Linked DNA regions of Styela clava. The protein of the gene in region 2 purifies or fractionates together with the protein of the main gene of each other region. This does not show direct contact. Links are inferred from orthologs where the notes say so. Each region holds a gene or a part of one and is shown on either strand. Other genes may lie near its edges.

What was found. Proteins that work in one complex are often made in the same cells at the same time.
Region 1: the proteins of thioredoxin-like (region 2) and apoptosis-inducing factor 1, mitochondrial-like purify together in Homo sapiens (affinity purification with mass spectrometry; 3 studies listed by BioGRID and IntAct, with this or other methods). This does not show direct contact. The link is inferred for Styela clava from reciprocal best matches to the Homo sapiens genes TXN and AIFM1.

The regions. Positions count from the first base shown.
Region 1 is NC_135263.1:616,603-627,268, reverse strand, and holds the start of apoptosis-inducing factor 1, mitochondrial-like, read right to left. Parts: upstream 4,649-10,666; 5' UTR 4,619-4,648; coding exon 4,534-4,618; intron 3,843-4,533; coding exon 3,709-3,842; intron 2,730-3,708; coding exon 2,654-2,729; intron 1,998-2,653; coding exon 1,888-1,997; intron 645-1,887; coding exon 423-644; intron 1-422. UniProt on the Homo sapiens protein: Functions both as NADH oxidoreductase and as regulator of apoptosis.
Region 2 is NC_135257.1:18,243,513-18,252,791, reverse strand, and holds thioredoxin-like, read right to left. Parts: upstream 3,374-9,279; 5' UTR 3,304-3,373; coding exon 2,983-3,303; 3' UTR 2,068-2,982; downstream 1-2,067. Other genes in the region: tyrosine-protein kinase Src42A-like, read right to left, coding at 1,844-1,967. UniProt on the Homo sapiens protein: Participates in various redox reactions through the reversible oxidation of its active center dithiol to a disulfide and catalyzes dithiol-disulfide exchange reactions.

The DNA of each region.
Region 1 (10,666 bases), on a different chromosome or scaffold from region 2:
TTTTAGACCTTCAAGACAAGACTATCGAAACCCACAATTTCGTCCTCCGGACAGATCTGCTAGCTGTTACGGTCCAGCTTGACAGCTAGAGATTCTAGACACACCCTTTGAAAATTCCTGGCTGCAACACGTAAGCAAGCCCAAATAAACAATGATTTCATTGGATTTCTATTTTTTAGTTTTTAGAATAGAATTCTATTCCTCAAATCAAGAATCTCCTTGGCTGAATATCAACTCATTTTATTCCACTTGTTTAAGACAGATCTGGGTAGTGGGTATCATATTCAATGAATTTAAAAAACTGTGGATAATGAGGTTACTGCATTTTCAGCAAAATAGCACAGAGTTGAATAAATGACAAAAATTTCTATTCTCTACCAACAAACACAAAACTCATATGACTAATTGAATAAATAGTGCACCTTCTTTCCTCTTAAAAGAGCAACACCACCGGAGGTCAGTGTTGGTAATTTCGAGGGCTTGACATAGAAGTCCTCCTCCTCATAGAATAGATTCCTCCATTTTCCGTTCCACTGTTTGAATTGCAATTCCTTCGCGGCCTCTTTATCATCGGAAAACCACAATTCTTTTGAAAGTGGTGGGCGCATGTAGGGTCGCATCTCTTCCTCCGTTATTATGAGAATCTGAGTAAAATTGTAGAAAACAGTGTTTTTCAAACATTTTTCATGACTTTACTCCTATCATGGCAGGAAGAGAACATAAATTGAACAAGATACAAAATTTGACCAGAAAGCTGTTTTGTCGAAGATAAATAAAGCACAACCGGTGTTAGCAAAACGATATAATTTGCCAACGTTTCAAATTTCTATTTAGAACACTTCATCAGGTCCTAATGACGGCTACGTTCTGATAAGAAATTTGAAACGCCTGCAAATTCATCGTTTTGCTAACACCGGTTGCGCTTTATTTATCTTCGACATGAATATACCTGATGGCTATCATGCGCTAAGAAAACCGTTTTGTTATAAACAAGCCTTTGCTCGAGCTGCCAGGGATAGACAGGAAGCTATCACCTTTAATTAAGTCCATAATCATTCGGGTCTGGCATTGCCTTTCCAATTTTATTAGGCTGTGAGTGAAGCCTGCAGTGCAAACTTAATTACATCTGGGCCATGTTAGTGTGATGTAAAAAGTTACATTTTGTGAACAGAATGTGTAAGCTATGAACAAAGAAGAACATTAAAAGAGTGTTATAGGGGCTTTAACAAAACTTTGTCAGCACTAAATTGAAACTTAAGGATGCGCATAGCCGCACACGACAACTAGGTAGTGCATGCAAGACTTGTTGAAAGCAGAAATTCATGGCAGCATCAGGCGGGCCAGCCACCTAACAGGCCGCATTTGATCCAAAGACCGTAGTTTTCATATGCCAGCTCTAACCACTAATCCATCGCTCTTTGCACACCCAGTCGAGAGTACTTTGCGGCCCACAAGTTCAAATCCTGAAGAAGTTTCCGGCACCGCTATAACCCTATATAATTTTGTCAGTGATTGCGTGTGACTTTGCTTTGTGTATATGACAATGACAACACCCACTACTATAGATCCCAGAACAGTAGCAAGAGTATCTGCTTTTTTTGAGTCAGAACAAACATCATTGAACAGGTACTCCCGTAGCCGTAGAATGCGAACCAAGATGGCGGACACCGGAACGTAGTATGTGGTCCAGGTAAGGGTATTGCCTAAACCTAAATGTTATTCTAATTTTCTATATCTTAGTTCTATTAATACGAGTTCAGGGACTTGCCAAGTGACTCCCGTAGTATGCGTACCTGGAATTATGGCCTAACTCTAACATGGTACACGTACTACGTTCCGATGTCTGCCATCTTGGTTCGCATACAACAGGAGTACCATTGTACATACCTTTGCAGTTGGATCTCTCTTCTTAATCGCCCTCATGGCTGAGTGTGATGCTGTTCCTCCTCCGATTAATAAATATTGTGTTGATTCTGGAATCTCTGGAAGAACAGGCTCTGGATAAAAGTTAGGATATTATTTTCAAAATTTCAAACGACCCAGTTTTGGGTCGCGACTTATAAGTTGCAAAACACTGATAATCCAGGGGCGTTTGATCTAGGAAAATAGAGAATTAGAAGGATGTTATGAGCCTGAGTTTGGCATATATCAATCCAGGACATAGAAGTCGGGGAAAAATTTACAGTAGAATCCCAACGTTGAACGGTCAACGTTGAAATAACTCTGCGTTGGAATTGGACACCTGACTGTGTAGCCGTACCATGAAGTTTAATATTATCCTGGATACAGCAATAAGGAGTTTATTATGCACTCCAGGGTCAGCCTATTCAATTTGGTATAAATCAGAGCCTCTCAAACTGGGGGTCGCGCAATCAATTTTAGGGATCGCAAAAAGTTTACCAATTTCACATAGAGTCAATATCTATTTTAATTTTGATTCGAAACACAATTATTAAAAATAGTGCAAAACATAATTATCACGATTTCGGGAGAATACATAGGATCGGAGAAGAGGCACGCAGCCTACACAACAATGCCAACGTAACAGAGTAGGCAGAATATTTTAATATATTAGAAGGGGTCACGAGCTTGAAAATTTGCGAAGCCCTGATCTAAATAACTTAATTATATTTTGGTATATCTGGGAATTCACCTTCTTCAGTTTGGGCTTCTTCATCATCTTCTTGTTTTTCTGCAGCTTTAGCTTCACTGGAACATTGGAAAGCAGCCTGTAATGTAAAGTATGCTATCTGTTACCAGCATAAGATAATTCTCTATTTTAATTACATTCCAAAACAGTGGTTTCCAAAGTTGAATGATCGGGGCCGAAATTAGAAGCGAAAGGATATTCGCGGCCCGCAGAGGTTCTGGTATATATAATTTAGATATCGGTAAAATCGAATTGTTACAAATATACATGTAATTAAACTGTGATAATGACATAACAATTTGTGGTATTACGAAAACAAAAAGGAAAAAACAAGTGTTAAACCATTTCACTTAAATTCGTCAGACCGTAATGAATCGTTACGCGGGCCATGATTGGCCCATGGGCTGCGGTTTGGGAACCTCTGTTATAAAAGGGCATGTTTGAATTTATAATATATCGAATATATTCTGAATTGGTTCACGTAATCACGTTTAACAGAAACATATAAAATGGGCAGTGATTTGACTGCTCCGCTGTTTTTAATTTTCAGAACAAAGTAAATAGAGGCTCTCAATAATAGCGCGAGATTTCAAAAGCTCAAAAAGGCAATTCAATTCTCAAATGAAGTTATTCCAAAATCAAAATGTAGAATTATGAATACCGAATATAAATAATCTCGAATAGAAATTGGAATGATTCAGGTAACTCTGAACCAGTGGTTCCCAAACCACGGCCAGTGGGTCAATTACGTCTCGTGGTAGATCCAATATGGCCCGTCGAACTTAAGTTAAACACTTCATATGTTTTTTACATTTTGGTGTTTTAGATACCGGCAACCGTTAGATCATTATCCCAGTTTAAGCGCCTTGTTCCCCTTGCAGGCGCTTCCCTCTCCTGGCACGCTAAGATCCTTCTGCTTCTAATTCAGACCCCCGGCCTAGCGACTTCGAGAACCATTGTTCCAATTTCTATTAGCTCTTTACACAGAGCCTTGTTCAGAGTAATCCTATGCACTTTGTGCTCATGACCTAGTTTTTAATCTATAAAAATCCACTTACAGCTCCAAAAAATATCATTCCAGTCCCGATACATAGTAGCGAGCCGATATGAGCCGGAAGATCTAATGAACGATGGGAGTAAAGCTGTAGACGATTTGCCGGCTCTTTCCGAGTGAATCTGTATGTTCTGGAAACTGAAAAAATGAAATAGTCTTTAAGACAGTGTTCCCAACTGTGTAGAAATCAGTGTTTCAATAATGGGGGAGGGGAATGAGGGTTGAAACCTCACCTCTTGAATGTAAAAAAAGGCATTTTTCTGTATCTTACATAACAATTTTTCATAGTTTGAAACGCTTTTCAGACCCTCAAGAGAGTTGGGCCTGCTGGCTGTTACAATCTATTTCAGAACCCTGCTTTGAAAATTCCTGGGCCCTCTGTTTCCCCATCAGTGGTCTCATTTTTCTGGTCTAAAATAATACGAGACACAAGAATCATGCGCAGTGGGGCGTTCCCAACCATGCATCGCGAGAAAACTTTTGAATGTGTCCCAGCCTGCCAGGGCTTGGACCTAAAAAATGATCAAATCTGGTAAAATCAACAAATTATGCATTTATAAAATATGGATATTTGTGCAAAGGATTTAATGACCAAATCAATTGGAATTACTGCTAAAATTAATTTGCAAATATGACAAAATGTGCGAAATCTACAATCATACATAAATAATATAAATTTTATGAACAACCATTTGCTTTCACCCTGGAGTTGTTTTGAAATGGCTTGGACTTGACGCAGCATAAAAATATTCTCAATGTCTGCTTCAGCTATGCTTAAATTGTGACACCTAATCCCAAAACACTTTAAAACCAAAAACGAACTACTTACATATATTTTGTGATGTTTCCTCATTTTTCTTTAAATTTCTGACGAAAATTCGTGCTTGATTGCACGTCCTACCACATCTATACATGATTGGAAGTTAATTGTCTGCAAAAAATATTTTAAATGCAAAGTTAGATCAAAGTTAGGTTTGAGTCATTTTATTTAGGCGACTCGAGTCACTTCGGCAAAGTTCAATAAATTAACGGCCTTTTTTGTTGGATTTTGAAAGATTAGTACAATATTGCAAAATCCAATATTATTCAATAAGTAAAAGTAATGACAGAATGACAGTAAAGTACGGTGCATATTGCAGTTTCAGTCTAATTCAGTGATTACAGAATTAGAATTAGGTATATTACAAGAATTCTACATTTTTTACTGCCTGTGGTGACATTCAGATATGACTATACCGTACCGGTATAATTTCATTCTCTGCCACTGGCGGCATGATAGCGCTATGAATGTTCCAAGACCATGCATCTACTGTACTAATAACTGGAACTAATATGTACCGGTAGTAGTAGTATTTTATTTCGTCAACAATGTCGAATAGTTTACATGCAACATGGTCACCCATTGCAGTATTGCCATACAGCCGTAGCATAGGCCACCAGGCAACATCAACACGTACTCTGCTAATCTGGCAAGAGATTCGTAATATGAGCACACCGTCCTATCGTCTTTCCTCTCTACGAGGATAAATAAAATAAAAATCCTATCTTATTGATGCAAATTTGATTTCGTAATCTCGCATTAGAAACACCGCAGCGCACATTTGGCAACTTTCATTTGACCCCTGAGATGTGTCGGAAGCGTGGGGGTCAAAGTGAGTCGTGTTGCGTAATGAAATAAATCGATAATTTTCAGATCTTCCGACAGTTTCTAAGCCTTCTCATTTGTTTAAATGCATTTTGAATAATATTTTATAGATTTTTACATCGATTTTTCAACGGATAATGACAGATTAGTCGAATAATATGACGTAATATGTCCGTGGCCGAACGACGAGTGCAGGGAGTCCATATTACATCATACGACTTTAGTGGATTTGAATTGTGGACGGTATTTACAACATATATGTATTTTCAAACAATTGAAGTTGTTGTACAATTGTTGTTTATTTTGAGTGAAAGAAAAGCCCATAAAGCGACTCAATCGAATGGCGAAACGCGGCCCTCACAAGTTAATGTTTTGACAACACATAATTGGTTAGCAAATCCCATACCCGACATGGACTGGTAAACGGACGAGAGGCCGTGGTTAGCAATATGATTAAGCCGACCCATCGGCTTTCCTCTCGCCAGGATAACTATGTAAATTCTATCTTAACATAGTGAACAACAGAAAGCATGATAAAATAAGCAAATAATCGGTTTTGCGGCTCGGATTGGTGTCATACGCACCGATTGCTCACCATTGAGAGCGAGATTAATTATAGGACTCTAAATTCCGCAATGGAAAACTGTCACCTGTGGTCCAGTAAATTTAAAAGATCTAATTACCCATTTCTAGTTGAAGTCATTGTATAAGCTTGACCAGATCTGGATAATGAGTGGAAGGCATTCGCAAAAGTGTGTCCGTGAAATACAGGTCACAACTGCGTCGCTATAACATGGAAATAATTGTGTTGTGATAGTAGGAATTACATTACCCTAAAACAAGGTTTCCCAAACTGGTGTCCGTGGACCCCTGGGGATCCGTGATGACTGCACAGGGGGCCCGCAACGATTTAAAAAGATACGGATCGAACTTTAATGATTGATTTCAATCAAAATGTCATTGTATCTTTCTAATTTATCGTTGTGGACGATTATTTCTTGCTGCGCTTTGCAACGACCTGCATGTGCGAGACATCATTCTCAGCTCTTACCAATACGATAGCAAACTACAGATTCTAGACTTGCCATAGAGTCGGACCTAGTTTGTGTGCCACAAATTACTCCGAAAATTGTGCAGAGAAAAGCAACCTCATCCATCATATGTCGTTTGTATCGTGTTGTAAATAGAACATTGTCCTTCCTCGCTGGTTAGGAACAGAAATTGATACGGTATAAGGTGTGGGTCCGTCAAAACTAAGATTGATAAATAGGGGTCCGCGGTGTAAAAGTTTGGAAAACACTGCTCTAAAAACTAAAAAAACAGCACAACTTCTGCTGCTCCTGCTATTTAAAGTGTCGGGTTGCAGTTTTAAATATATATATATATATTTAATCCGGAATCTTGCGTCTTCTGATCTAAAAAAAACCTTGGGATACAAATGTTTACTTCGGAAACGTAAATTCCGTTTTTTTTTTATGTTTCAGTTAAATTATTACTTCTCATTTTTCCTAGTTTTATTGCTTGATAAGGTTATTTCACAGGATGTGTTTTGACCTTGTTGAGCATGAATTGTTTGAACATGGCGGGTTGTGGAATATATCAATCAAAATTAACACTATGAATACCTCTGGAATGATAAAAAGGGGGTCAAAGGTTGGAAACTACTGGTCAAGGACACTAATCCGCCATTTCCCATCTAAATCTGAGAGTCTACATTGATTTTGTTTAAATATATTGTTTAAACTAAACATATTGTTTAAATTTATTGCAATATCTAATAGTTTCCACTAACATTAAATTTATTACAATTAAATAACCATTTTTGCTAGTATTAGTTTTGCGTTCATAATTATTCTTAGTTTATACAACTGAGACAGTAAAAGACAACTAAACTATCGCATACGGGTTCCTCGAGCTTCTGGAATGTTTCTGGTTCCGTTCCACCAAAAAGATTGGAACCACTGTCGAATGGCACAATGCATTCACGAGTATCGGCAAGATCGATATCGGCTAAGTGGATAACTGGGTTCCATTACATTTGAACCCACGTACATTTGAACCCGTAATTTGAACCCACGACAAGTGCACCTGCATGCTATTGCACCTATGAATTTTTTTTACGGATATTTAAATCCATACTAACCCTAACCCATGGGTTTTAGCACCCGAATATAGATTGAACCCGCGGATATACGGGTGCAAAAGTACGAGTTCAAATGTACGGTCACCGGATAACTGCAGTAGGATTTTCATTTATTCCCGATCAAAAGGGAAATTTAATACGGCGCAATAAATATGACGATACACGGCCTCTCGTCCGATTACCTGTCCACATCGGGTGTCGAAAGGGCCAACCTGCATATTTTTTCTTGTATATATTCATGTCAGAGGTGTGCAACTTTTACAGGCCGGCCAAATACGAATAACTGGGCAAACTGCGGGCCGCATCTCTATTTAACATGGGCTTTCTAGTGGTTACATGCATAAAAGTTGTCGAGCCAGCTGTTAGCGCTAAAATGAGCAAACTACGGCTCGCGGGTAAAATCCAGATCCAGACCAAATTGGGTAATTTGATCTGGCCCGCCTGATGCTGCCACAGCCAAACTAAAATCAACTTTTGATGTTTTAGCTGAAAAATAGTTCAGGGAATTTGTTGAGATTGCGTTCAGATTTAGTTTTGACACGAAGCTTATTGTTTTCCACTTTTGCTTTTGTAAATATTATTTATAAAATGTTACTTTTACGTCACACTTACATGGCCCGCCAGTCTAGGTGGGTCTGGTCCCTGGTCCAAAAACCTTGCCCACTCTTGTGTTAGAGCATTGAGCTTCATATGCATCAGGTATAGGCTTTGCAACGCCAAACGGATAGGAAGTTCTTACGCGTACCAGATTAAACCAAATTAAAAACTTGTTTCGCTGGCCGAACATCATTCGAAATTGCCACCTCTCTGCGGGCCGCACAATTTTCCTTTGTGGGCTGCAGGTTGCACACCCCTGATTTACGTTATTGATTTGGTTAGATTATTTTTTTGACAGTCGGTAGGCGACATGTCAAACCCGTCCGCATTGCGAGAAGGGTTGTTGACGCCAAATATATCTTCCAGACTATGGTATATAAATGACAATTTCTAAAGTGACAAGACCATGGTTAGCGATGTACACAACACTAGAGTATTCCCCAGCAACAAACTATCACAAAGCAAATAATTTTTCCGCGTGTAAATAAAATAATATTTACTTTCTCGGCGAGAGACTGTTCACGCCACACCATTGTTATCTCATAAGTTAAGATATGTGATTGTTTGTGACATCACAGAAACCATAACTCAGATAGTTCGCTGAGCGTTCACGCACAATAAGAAACATGTTTCATCAATAACTTACTAAAAAGAAAATTTTCTCGTGTCAGAATTACATTGTAAAATAATATCTTCTAGAAAAATTGAAGGATTCATCTCGACATTTGCCGTACAAAAGGAAAACAAGATGGCGGCGATTCGAAATTTTCGTCTCCACCGATTCGAATAATCTACTACCCGATTCGAATACGTTCATCAATTTGTTCAAAGGCTGGAAGGGAACATAGCGTATAATGTTCGATGGCCATTAAAACTTGTCATTGGGCTATTTTCCTGAGTCCTGTGAGGACGATATTTCACATGTTGTTGTTTTTATATTTCATGGGAACACCTAAATATGACATCTTGTTTACATTTTCCTATGGCATCTGTTACAATTCATTTAACATTTGCCCGGAATTTTGTTGGCATCCCGAAGTCATTTAATAATACACACTCGAGCATTGCTTGCAACGAGTTTGAAGAATACTGCTCTATAAGCGAACCGCACCAGTTTCCTTGTATGTTTCTTTTTTACTTTAGAGTGAGCATCCGTAACTTCACTCAGACATCAATCTCCTTTACTTCTGAGTGAGTGCGCGAGACTTTGCTTAGAGATGAATCTCCTTTCATACCCTGAGTGTCCGTAACAATGCTCAGAGATGAGTTTTCTTTACTTCTGAGTGCCAGTAACTTTGCTCAGAGATAAGACGTCATTACTTCTGAGTGAGTGCCCGTAACTTTGCCCAGAGATGAGTCTTTTTTACTCCTGAGTGTGTGCCTGTAACTTTGATTAGAGAAGAGTCTCTTTTACTTCTGAGTGAGTGCGCAAGAGAGAGTTCGCTCAGAGATGAGTCTTCTTTACTGCAGAGTGAGAATCTGTAACTATGCACAGAGATGAGTCTCTTTTATTTTTGAGTGAGTGCGCAACCCTGCTTTGATCAAATTTTGTGGAAAGCCTAATATCTATACCGGGGCCATACACGCTCTAAGAAATTCATCGCCCCAAACGAAAGTCGTAATTTGAAATTATAATCTGACCAACCGACGAGCGCGTCACGTATTACATTGTCTGCGACATAATGCGATAATAGGACGTAGGCACGTAGAGCAGGAAGATTACTATATTGTTTGAGAACTAAAGATAGTAATGCCTAAAAATGACTGATATGGCCACAGCAACAACACAATTCTTATTATTTTTTATTTGATTTGGTAATAATTGGGAAGTCACCCGGCTGTTAATCAATCATTTTGACCAGTGTATATATCATATATAAATATAATTTATATACAAGATGTCCATAAGTCCTATTTCAATCTCAGTTTTGTTATGAAGTCAGTTCTCATTATGTCTTAACCGGGTTTGTTGTTTTTGAATCAATAATTGTTTAAGTATTTGGGGCTCCCGAAGTATGCGAACCAAGATGGCGGACATCGGAATGTAATATGTGTACTAGGTTTAGGCCATAATTTTAGGTATAAATACTACGGGAATCTCTTGGCTAGTCTTCGAACTGATAATAGGACTAAAATAAGGAAAATTGGAAAAAAATTATGGCCTAACCCTAACCTGTTACCCATGTTACGTTCCGATGTCCGCCATCTTGGTCCGCATACTTCGGGAGCACCAAGTATTTTACTTCATTTAATACATCTGTGAGGGCCAAAACAATATATGGTATCGATGAATTCCCTTTGCAATTTTAAAATGAATTCAATACTTTATGGTCATCCTATATTTCAAACCCTGTACTGCTGACAATACATAGCGTCGAGCATGAGTCTTATTTTCAAATTACAATCGAACCGACGGCCTGCGCCGATCAATGAATGATTGGTATAGTAAATTGTGTGTTTATGTTTACAAGCGAGCAATGCCCAAATAGGGACATGGGGGCCAAATAGTTAATACTGTGATGACAGTAAAATATTGAAAGAATTCCACTAAATGGCATATGAAGATAGTTTGCCAAT
Region 2 (9,279 bases):
AAAGTTCCTTTACAATTTTCAATTTAGATATGAAGTCAGTTTTCAATATATCTTAACCAGGTTTGTTGTTTTTTAATCAGTAATTGTTAAAGTATTTTTACTTCATTTAAGACAGTGGTTCCCAACCGCCGGTCCGCGGACCGGTGCCGGTCTGCGAAGCTTTTTTGACGGTCCGCGAGAAGTTTTGTTGTTTTTATGCCGTCTCAATCGCTTTACCGTATACAAAGTTTTTTTTTTGTACTTTGTAGCCTACCGTATACAAAGTTGCTTTGGCTCATTACGCAATTCTCTTCCCCCGTCATATTGCGACATCTTGACGCCGTCTTACGCGACATCTTGGCGCCGAGCATTCACACTTTTCGCCTCCGATTCATCGCGAATGCGCTCCATCAAATCTCGCAAAATTAAGAAGCCTCAAAATCGGCATGCGTGCTTTTTCTGTTCTGCGTGCTTTGCCTGCTTAATATGACCATCCATATAAAACGTAATGCATATCTTCTTTTTCAAACCAGAAAACAGTCAAGAACAGTATAATATTCCAGTAAGAGAGGAACTTGTTGAGACCCCACAGGCGACAGGTGGTCACGACACGCCCAAAAAAGCATGGGCCGCAGATATCTTTTCCAGACACAGTAGGATTTTGAGCCTGTTGCCAAGTTACCGACGACTTTGGCATTGTAATGCAAATTCATTTCGTTTGAGGCGTCGATCAACTGCAGAGGGATTTTTATGATGAACCCATTGCAAAAGAAAAGGCTTGATTAAAATGGCGATTCTACTTTACAGTCCCGATTAAAAAAGAATTACTTATCACAATTTTAGATATCTCTTGATAACGAATACTCATGGCCAAGTAATCGAGCAATCGAACTGTTGTCCGTCTTTTCAGCCAGTTACTGCGTTATGCGAAAAAAACATTATCATCACTAGATTCAATTACAACGAAGCAAAGAAATCGGCTGCACGCGGCTGCAGAGCTACGTGTTGCAAAAACTTCTTTGAGGCCTCGTTTGTAATCTTATATTGGAAACAAAACAGCAGCAAAATTCTCACAGGAGTTAATTGTGTTTGCTCATGATTTGGCGTGTACCTGTTTTTAATGTGAGATATTTTACGCGTACCTTTCTTACGCATAATGGGTGCCCAGCACTGCATTTCATTACGCAAATATATGGTATTATTTTATGTTTAACCCATTTTTAATTTTTGGTCGGCACATTATTTGATAGTTTTTCTCCGCAAGAAATGGTTTTAAGTGTGCCTTTTTGTCTAGAAGCATATTGAGTGCTCGCCCTAATCATAATGTATTCGTAACAGAAGGCCTACATACATTATTTGGTAATGACAATCACTGGTCTATCACTCAGTAATTTATTTCTTCACCATGCTGAAGAATTATAGGTTCCAATATGATGGGCATGAACATCAGCAATGAAATGTCTGAAACTTACATCCCTAAAAATTTGTTCAGTGCAACTTAGGCCTAAGTCACCTTTTTTTACTTTGCATCCCATACAAAAAATTTCAGAAGTTGTTGAGAACAGAATGGGCCTAAATCTCTTATGGAGGTAAAAAAGCAGAAAGAAATTGAAGCTGAAGTGCCAAAAAATATTGATTACAAAGATATTCTCATCCAAACTAAAATAACCAGAGCTCAGGACTTTACTAATTGTGAATATCTAGATATTCAAAAATAAAAAAATTCCAAATTGTTTTTTGCGTTTTTCTCAAAACTCAAAATTGTGACTTAGGCCTGTTCTGTTCTCATCCGGCGATATGTTATTTGATAAATAAATTTAAAAAAGCAGATATAAATAAAAAAAAAATTCTGGTAGTCTCTTACTTTGAGATCGTTGTTGTTGTTGAATATTTGAAAATGATGCCTGTGACATTTTTGGTTGCCGGTTACTTCCATTTGTATTTGAATTTTGTGGAGGGCCGATCAGCCTCCTTATACATCCACCCATGGTTGTTGTTCAATCCAATGTAAAATATCCCGACTTCAGAATATCGTACAAGTTTTCACATGTTATGGAAAGTTCAATTTTTAAAAGTAATATCCCGAAGCTAAATAAAACAGAACCAATATTATTGTCAGTACTACAATTCGAATACCTGAAAATTTGTTTATAAAAAATAGTCACTCGAAAAAACTGAAATTTGAATAATGTATTATCACAATATTGAATATTCCCTATTATCATCAAAATTTGCAAAATCAAGAGATAATCTGCATATATCGTACAAGCATTTCACTATATTAACTAGAACGTTTGAATAAACATTCAACAGAACAAATATGCATGTGAGCTTTATGGAAGTCCATATTTAAAAAGATTAATATTCAAGAATATTTTTTAGCAAATCATGATATAACATGCTCGATTAGACCGCATTGGGTAAAACTACAAATTTTACGAGAAACTGGTTGTAAAATATCAGAATGGGTGCTCAAGCCTAATTGCATTAATTTTGGGGCAAATTTAATAAGTAATACCGAAAAGTGCAAATAGAACATATTTATATAGGAAGAAATTCTAAGAAAGTAAATTCAATCCAGATTGGGCAACAAATTTTGACTTCATCATAAGCAAATTGTGTGACTATTCGTGTTTCTAATGAGTTCGGATAATTACTAAAAAAAGCAAAGATACATGATCTTGAAGAGATATGTTGACTGTATCGCAGAAAACTAATTTTTTTAAATCAGAACTGCAAAATAAATTATCAAACCCATTCCCGTTTATAAATACATTTATCAAACTTTGTTCAAAATCGGAATTCTGTATTCAACTATTTAAACCCAGGTAACATCTTCACTGAGTACATCTGTATTAAAAAATTAGCCTCAGATTACAATTTACAACACTACAAATATTAAAATTGACTACAAATTGTGCATTCCCGAATTCAAAATGATTTTTGGGATAATTTATCGCTATTGGATCAATTACAGGAAATCAAAACTATATTGAAAAGATTCTAAATATTCTTCTCTATCATCTCTCTCAGCTTGGCTTCACTTGCTCCCACAAGTTCATCAACTTTTTGACCATTCTTGAAAAACAGAAATGTAGGCATAGCACTTATTCCATGCTTTTCAGTAGTGTCTGAATTTTCGTCCACATCCACTTTTAGAAAAACAGCATTTTTGTATTCCCCACTCATTGCTGCAACTTTGGGACCAATCACTTTACACGGTCCGCACCAAGTCGCATAGAAGTCGACAACAACAAGTTTTTGACCAGCATCACAAAGTTGCTTATCGAAATCTTCTTTTGTATCACATTGTATTACAGACATCTTGTCAGCTGGGCTACTTGTGTTAACTAATCACTTTGATAAAAATACAGTGCAGTAAGATACATGAGGAAGGCAAGATAGTAAAAGGTAGCTACTTGTGTTAGCTGATTACCAGTACTTTAATACAAATACAGTGCAGTAAGATATAGGATAAAGGCAAAATAATAAAAGACAGTCTGCATATATCGCACAAGCATTCCACTATATTAACTGAACGAGGTAGGTTTATATAAACATTCAACAGAACGAATATGGCTGTGACCTCTGAAGGAAGTCTATATTTGAAAAAATTGATATTCAAGAATTTGGCCTGGTCCTTATTTCATTTTGACTAGTCCAAAAGCTCCAGTATAGATTAATTTTTTTAGCTTGTCACACAAGCCAGATTTGACCACAATCGTAAAACTTTGAATTTTTTTACAAATAAATTTGTAAGGATAGGTGAACAATTCAAACAGCATTATTTTCATAAAAAGTTTTAGCAAATTAATAGGTAAAATGAAAATGGAACTTATTTGTATAGAAAGTAATTTAGGGAAAAGTAAATTCATTTCAGATTATACTATAAATTTTGACTGCATAAATGCGCATAGTTAATAAGTGACTAATCGTGGGAATTCTAACTTGAAAGTTCAAATATAAAATGCAGTGTATTATGAAGAAATTTCAGGTAATTGAGTTTGGATAATTACTAAAAGAAGCAAAGATACATGATCTTGGAAAAACAAGTTGACTGTATCTCAGAAAACTACCGTAACTTTTTTACATCAGAAGTTAAATAAATAAATTATAAACTCATTCAAAAACTACACCAATAATTGAAATACAATCGTACATAATTCACTGTGAAAAAATATTATTGCTACATTTTTATAAGGACTTTATTAGGATTTAAAACTATGCAACAAAACCTTAGAAAAGGTACCATAAAAAAAGTGTTGACCCGAAATTATGAAAACTGATAGCAATAAAGAGTACCACGAAAATGAAAAATTTTATAAATCACATACCCTTAAAATAATAAAATTACCTTTTGAACATTGAATTTCAACTTCAACATACATACAACAAAGAAGAAGTAGGGTCTCGTGTAGTTTCGTACCTAACTTACTTCAAGTGGGCGTAGCATAACAATTTTTTGATATGTCAATCCTAACCCCCATCTGACTACAGCATCCAAAAATTACGTCACTACGACATCACAATTACGTCATAGGGCTTGCCAAATATACGTACAATCGCCTGAAATGGCATTGGCGCCGACGATAAAGAACTGACCGGCGTTATCGATCTTTCTCCTATCGTGATTGTGACGTCGCAGTGACGTAATTTTCTCTCGTTTTCTTGTCGCAACGATTCCAATAGGAGAGAGATCGATAACGCCAGTCAGTTCTTTATCGTCGGCGCCAATGCCATTTCGGGCGATTCTACGTATATTTGGCAAGCTCTATGACATAATTGTGATGTCGTAGTGACATAATTCTTGGATGACGTAGTCAGATGGGGGTTAAGATTGACGGGTCTCGTGTAGTTTTGTACCCCAAGTACAGAAGTACTTCTAGTGAGCGTAGCATAATGATTTTTGCAAATGTCAATTCTAACCCAGTACGGCACACTATACATATCGGGTGACATTGTCCCGTTTCAGAGAAACCCATTTTACAGATGATCAGACACCCCTCCTTTGGGGAGACGTCTGGACAAATGGCCAAACCAAATGACCAAATGGGAATTTTGATCATGTGACGGCTCCGATTAATTTAGATTATTATTGAGACAAGCACGGCATGATATGAAGCATCTGACGTGGTCCCAGAGGCCCCTCGTTTGTGAGACACATGAAGTGTTTGTTTTATTGAGCCAAATTCTTGGAATTTGGATAGTGTGCTGTACTGTAACCCCACCTGACTATGCCATCAAAAAATTACGGCACCATCACGCCATACTGTCATAGAGCTTGCCAAAGTACCTTTTTTTTTTTTTTTGCCAAATAAATTCCAATGCCAAACGGAATTTTCGTATTCTGTATGCCTACGATCGCCTGAAATGGCATCTGCGCCGACGATAAAGAACTCACTAACGGCAGCGATCTCTCTCATAAATCCACGTTTAGTACCACATATACTTCTAGTGGGCGTTGCTCAATTTTTTTTAATATGTCACTCCTGAACCCCCACCTGGCTACGGCATCCAAAAATTACGTCACTGCGACGTCACAATCACGAAATAGAGCTTGTCAAAGTATAACGACGTCACTCGTAATGGCGCCTGCGACTACGTTCATTTTTTTTTTTTTTTTTAATTTTTATGCTATTTTTTAGTTTTGCTCTATTTTTTTTTTCTTGACATAGAATAATTTTTTTTTTTATTATTAGTTTCCGAATTAGATCAAGATTTTTAATCATTTTTTTAGAATTTTGAATATCATGGTTTTAACCCTCTCCATGCGATTTTTATTTTTTATTAAATAATCGTATTTGCTACGCCGACTTTATGCATTTGTACCACTGAACTGGAAATATATGGAACGATCTTCTCTCTCGTTTTGCGTTGTCGCTGCGCGGGACAATTTGATCGCCGCCATCTTGGCACTTATGCTTCCAAACTTTCTTCCTGCTGGTAGGGTAGTTCGCTGGTTTTGGCTTGTTTTTCGTGTTTAAAAGCTGCTAGTTTCATAATTGGGTATTTACGTTCAAACTTCCCTAAGTATAGGTGGCTAGGTTAGTATTTGTCACTAGCTAGTTAGTATTTTTTTTTATATTTTAGGCTGACAGTACGATATAGTTACGGAATAGTTTAACTAAAGGTAGGTACGGTATGGCATTGCCAAAAAAATCTGAGGCGGAGAAAATGATTGGAAAAAGTAGCGGTATTGGTACTCAGTGCTCCGCATATGGTTGCAAAAAACGTTTTAAAAAGAAGGACTTTCGAAGTGATAGCGAGGGAGATGATGACGAGGAAAGTGTGCTGAAACGAAAATAAGGACATTTCATAAGTAAGAAAAATAGCCCAGCAGTTTGTGTTAACAATATCAGTTTTCAGTTGTCTGCCAGTGTGTGTCTTAGCAATTTGTTCATAGCCTGCTAAACATTGTAAAAGATAAAGCTAGTTTTATTATCATGATATACAGATATATGTTAGAGTAAATGCATACAGATACAGGTATAGCTGTCTCGGTACAGTATTGAGGCTCGTCTTCTGTAACTATAAGGTCAGAAGTCAGTTTGTAGTAAAGTTGTAATTTAGTCAAAGTTGTTGGAAAAATTGTATAAGCATTTAAATCATTTGGGCTGAAGGCGACAGCAAGTTTATAACATACAAAGTAGTCAACAATTTAGCGCATAAAACTATTATTGACTAGAAAAGAGCGTTTTTGACTATACAGATAGACTATGTTAAATCCAAATTCTGGTTCTGGCCTGCTTCAATTCAAGTAGCTCAAATCCGAATAAATTGTGCACTTACTGCATGAAATGATTATCAGTTCTTTTTTGCTCATACATAATTAACAATATTTTTCTCAGATTTCCTTTGAATAAGGCACTTTGCGAGAAGTGGGTAACTGCTTTGCGGAGGGCGAATTGGATTCCAACTAGTTCTTCACGTTTATGCTCTGACCATTTTAAAGAGAGCGATATTAAGAGAACCGGGCAACGCACAAGAATTAAGGACAATGCTGTTCCGACCCGATTCAAAGCATTTCCAAAATATTTAAGAAAGGTATGCATAAGATAAACAACAAATTGAATCCTCAATAACTTTAAATGTTGTACCCAGAGCGACAAAAAATCCTGTCACATATTTTAATGGGTGTTTTTTTCATATATCAGGCAATTAAGATCACTATAGCATGCAGATACCTAGTATTTTAGCTTATGGTAATAGACTTGATCTGTTATGTATTTTAATTTTTAGTTTATCGGAATAACTATATAAAATCATCTGTTTATGTGATGTGAGAGATTTTTTTTTACGACAAATGCCTTCTAAATTTTCAAAATTCTCGTTTTTTGCCACATGCTTCGGTTCAACGCATCTAAAGTGGGACATGCTCATGATCATCAAAATTTCTTGCAGGTCAACGAACAGCGAAAGTCACCGACAAAAAGAAAATTTCATTCATGTGTAAAGCAGAAGTGGTCAGTGCAGGAGAAATTTAACAATGTGCTCCATGACCACTCATATTCACAGGTCATTGCTTCACCTACAAAGTTAAAAAAATTAAATCTCAGCTTACAACATTTAAAAGCAGTAAGAAAACGACTCCGGCTTTGTCAAAAAAAAACATATCGATTGCAAAAACATGTAAAATCTCTTGAAACGGTGCTAAAGTCCCTGAGAAAGAAAAACTTGGTGAGTGCTTCATGTGAAGAAAGTCTACAGCGATCTATACTTTCATCAATCTTCAATAGAATTTTAATGAATTTACAAACTGGAAAAGGCGTCAAATATCTCAAGTGCGTAAAGTCTTAAATCTGGCTTTACCACATCCAAGCGTAATAAAAAAATGGTACCAGAAACTTCCAGCTGAGCCTGGTTTCACAAAAATTGCATTTGATGCGATCCGGCTGAAGGTGAGTGCTGCATCGCACTCATTGATTTGTGCTATGATGATTGATGAAATGGCAATTAGGAAACATGTTGCTTGGGATGGAGAAAGGTATCGGGGCTTTGTTGACCTGGGAAATGCTGAAAATCAGGATGATTCTGCTCCACTTGCCAAGGAAGCTCTTGTTTTGATGGCTGTTTGTGTGAATGGGTCCTGGAAAGTACCTTTGGGATATTTTCTCATTAATGGATTGACCGGAGAAGAAAGAGCAAACATCATAAAGATTGGGATTCAAAGATTGAGTGAAACTGGAGCCAAGGTGGTATCCTTAACTTGTGACGGGCCATCTTGTCATTTTTCAATGCTCTCTCATTTAGGAGTTGTTGCCTCGCATGTAAGCATGCAATCATATTTTACTCATCCTTCGTGCCCATCTGAGCGGATTTATGTTTTCATGGACGTTTGTCACATGCTTAAATTAGTCCGAAACACCCTTGCGGAGTGGGGTGTTTTGCGTGATGGCAATGGGAACAAAATTTTGTGGGAATATTTTGTGCAGTTGCAAAAACTCCAATCAACTGAAGGTCTTAGGCTTGCAAACAAGTTGAAGCAAAGACATATACACTGGTATCAACAAAAGATGAAAGTTGATATTGCTGCTCAAACCCTGAGCAGCAGTGTTGCAGATGCGATCGAATACTCTGATACGGTGCTGAAATTCAAGCAGTTTAGTGGAAGTCAAGCAACTGTAAAATTTATCAGAATTTTTGACCAGCTTTTTGATGTGCTAAATTCCAGAAATCTCTTCGCTAAACGATTTAAGGAGCCACTAAGACCTTCAAATAAGCATATTTGGGAACCATTCATGAATCAGGCATGTGCATACATTGCACAGTTGAAGGATTCTTCAGGAAGACCAATCTTGATGTCAAGAAAAAAAACTGGCTTTATTGGCTTTTTGTTATCTGTATCCAGTGCAAAAGGCGTGTTCAATGACTTGGTCACTTCAAAATATTTAAAATATCTTTTAATGTACAAATTTAGTCAAGATCATTTGGAACTCTTTTTCTGTGCTGTAAGAGGTGCTGGGGGATTCAATAATAATCCAACTGTGCAACAATTTGCTTCTGCCTATAAACGACTGCTTATGAGAAGTGGGGTAAAAGGCACAGGAGGGAACTGTGAGCCCCAGGATGCAACAAGCATTTTGAATGTTTTGGACAGCTTCAGTCTGACTAATCATAATATGAGTTTAAGCTCAGTATCTTTTATGAAGAAATATGACCTTGAACCACGGACTCCACTAACTTCTGACCATGACTATGCTGACATACCTAACACAATCAGGTTGTCAGAATACGAGCTTCAAATAATCAAATATATTGCAGGATTTGTTGCAAAGAGGCTGCGAGATACCATGTTTTGCA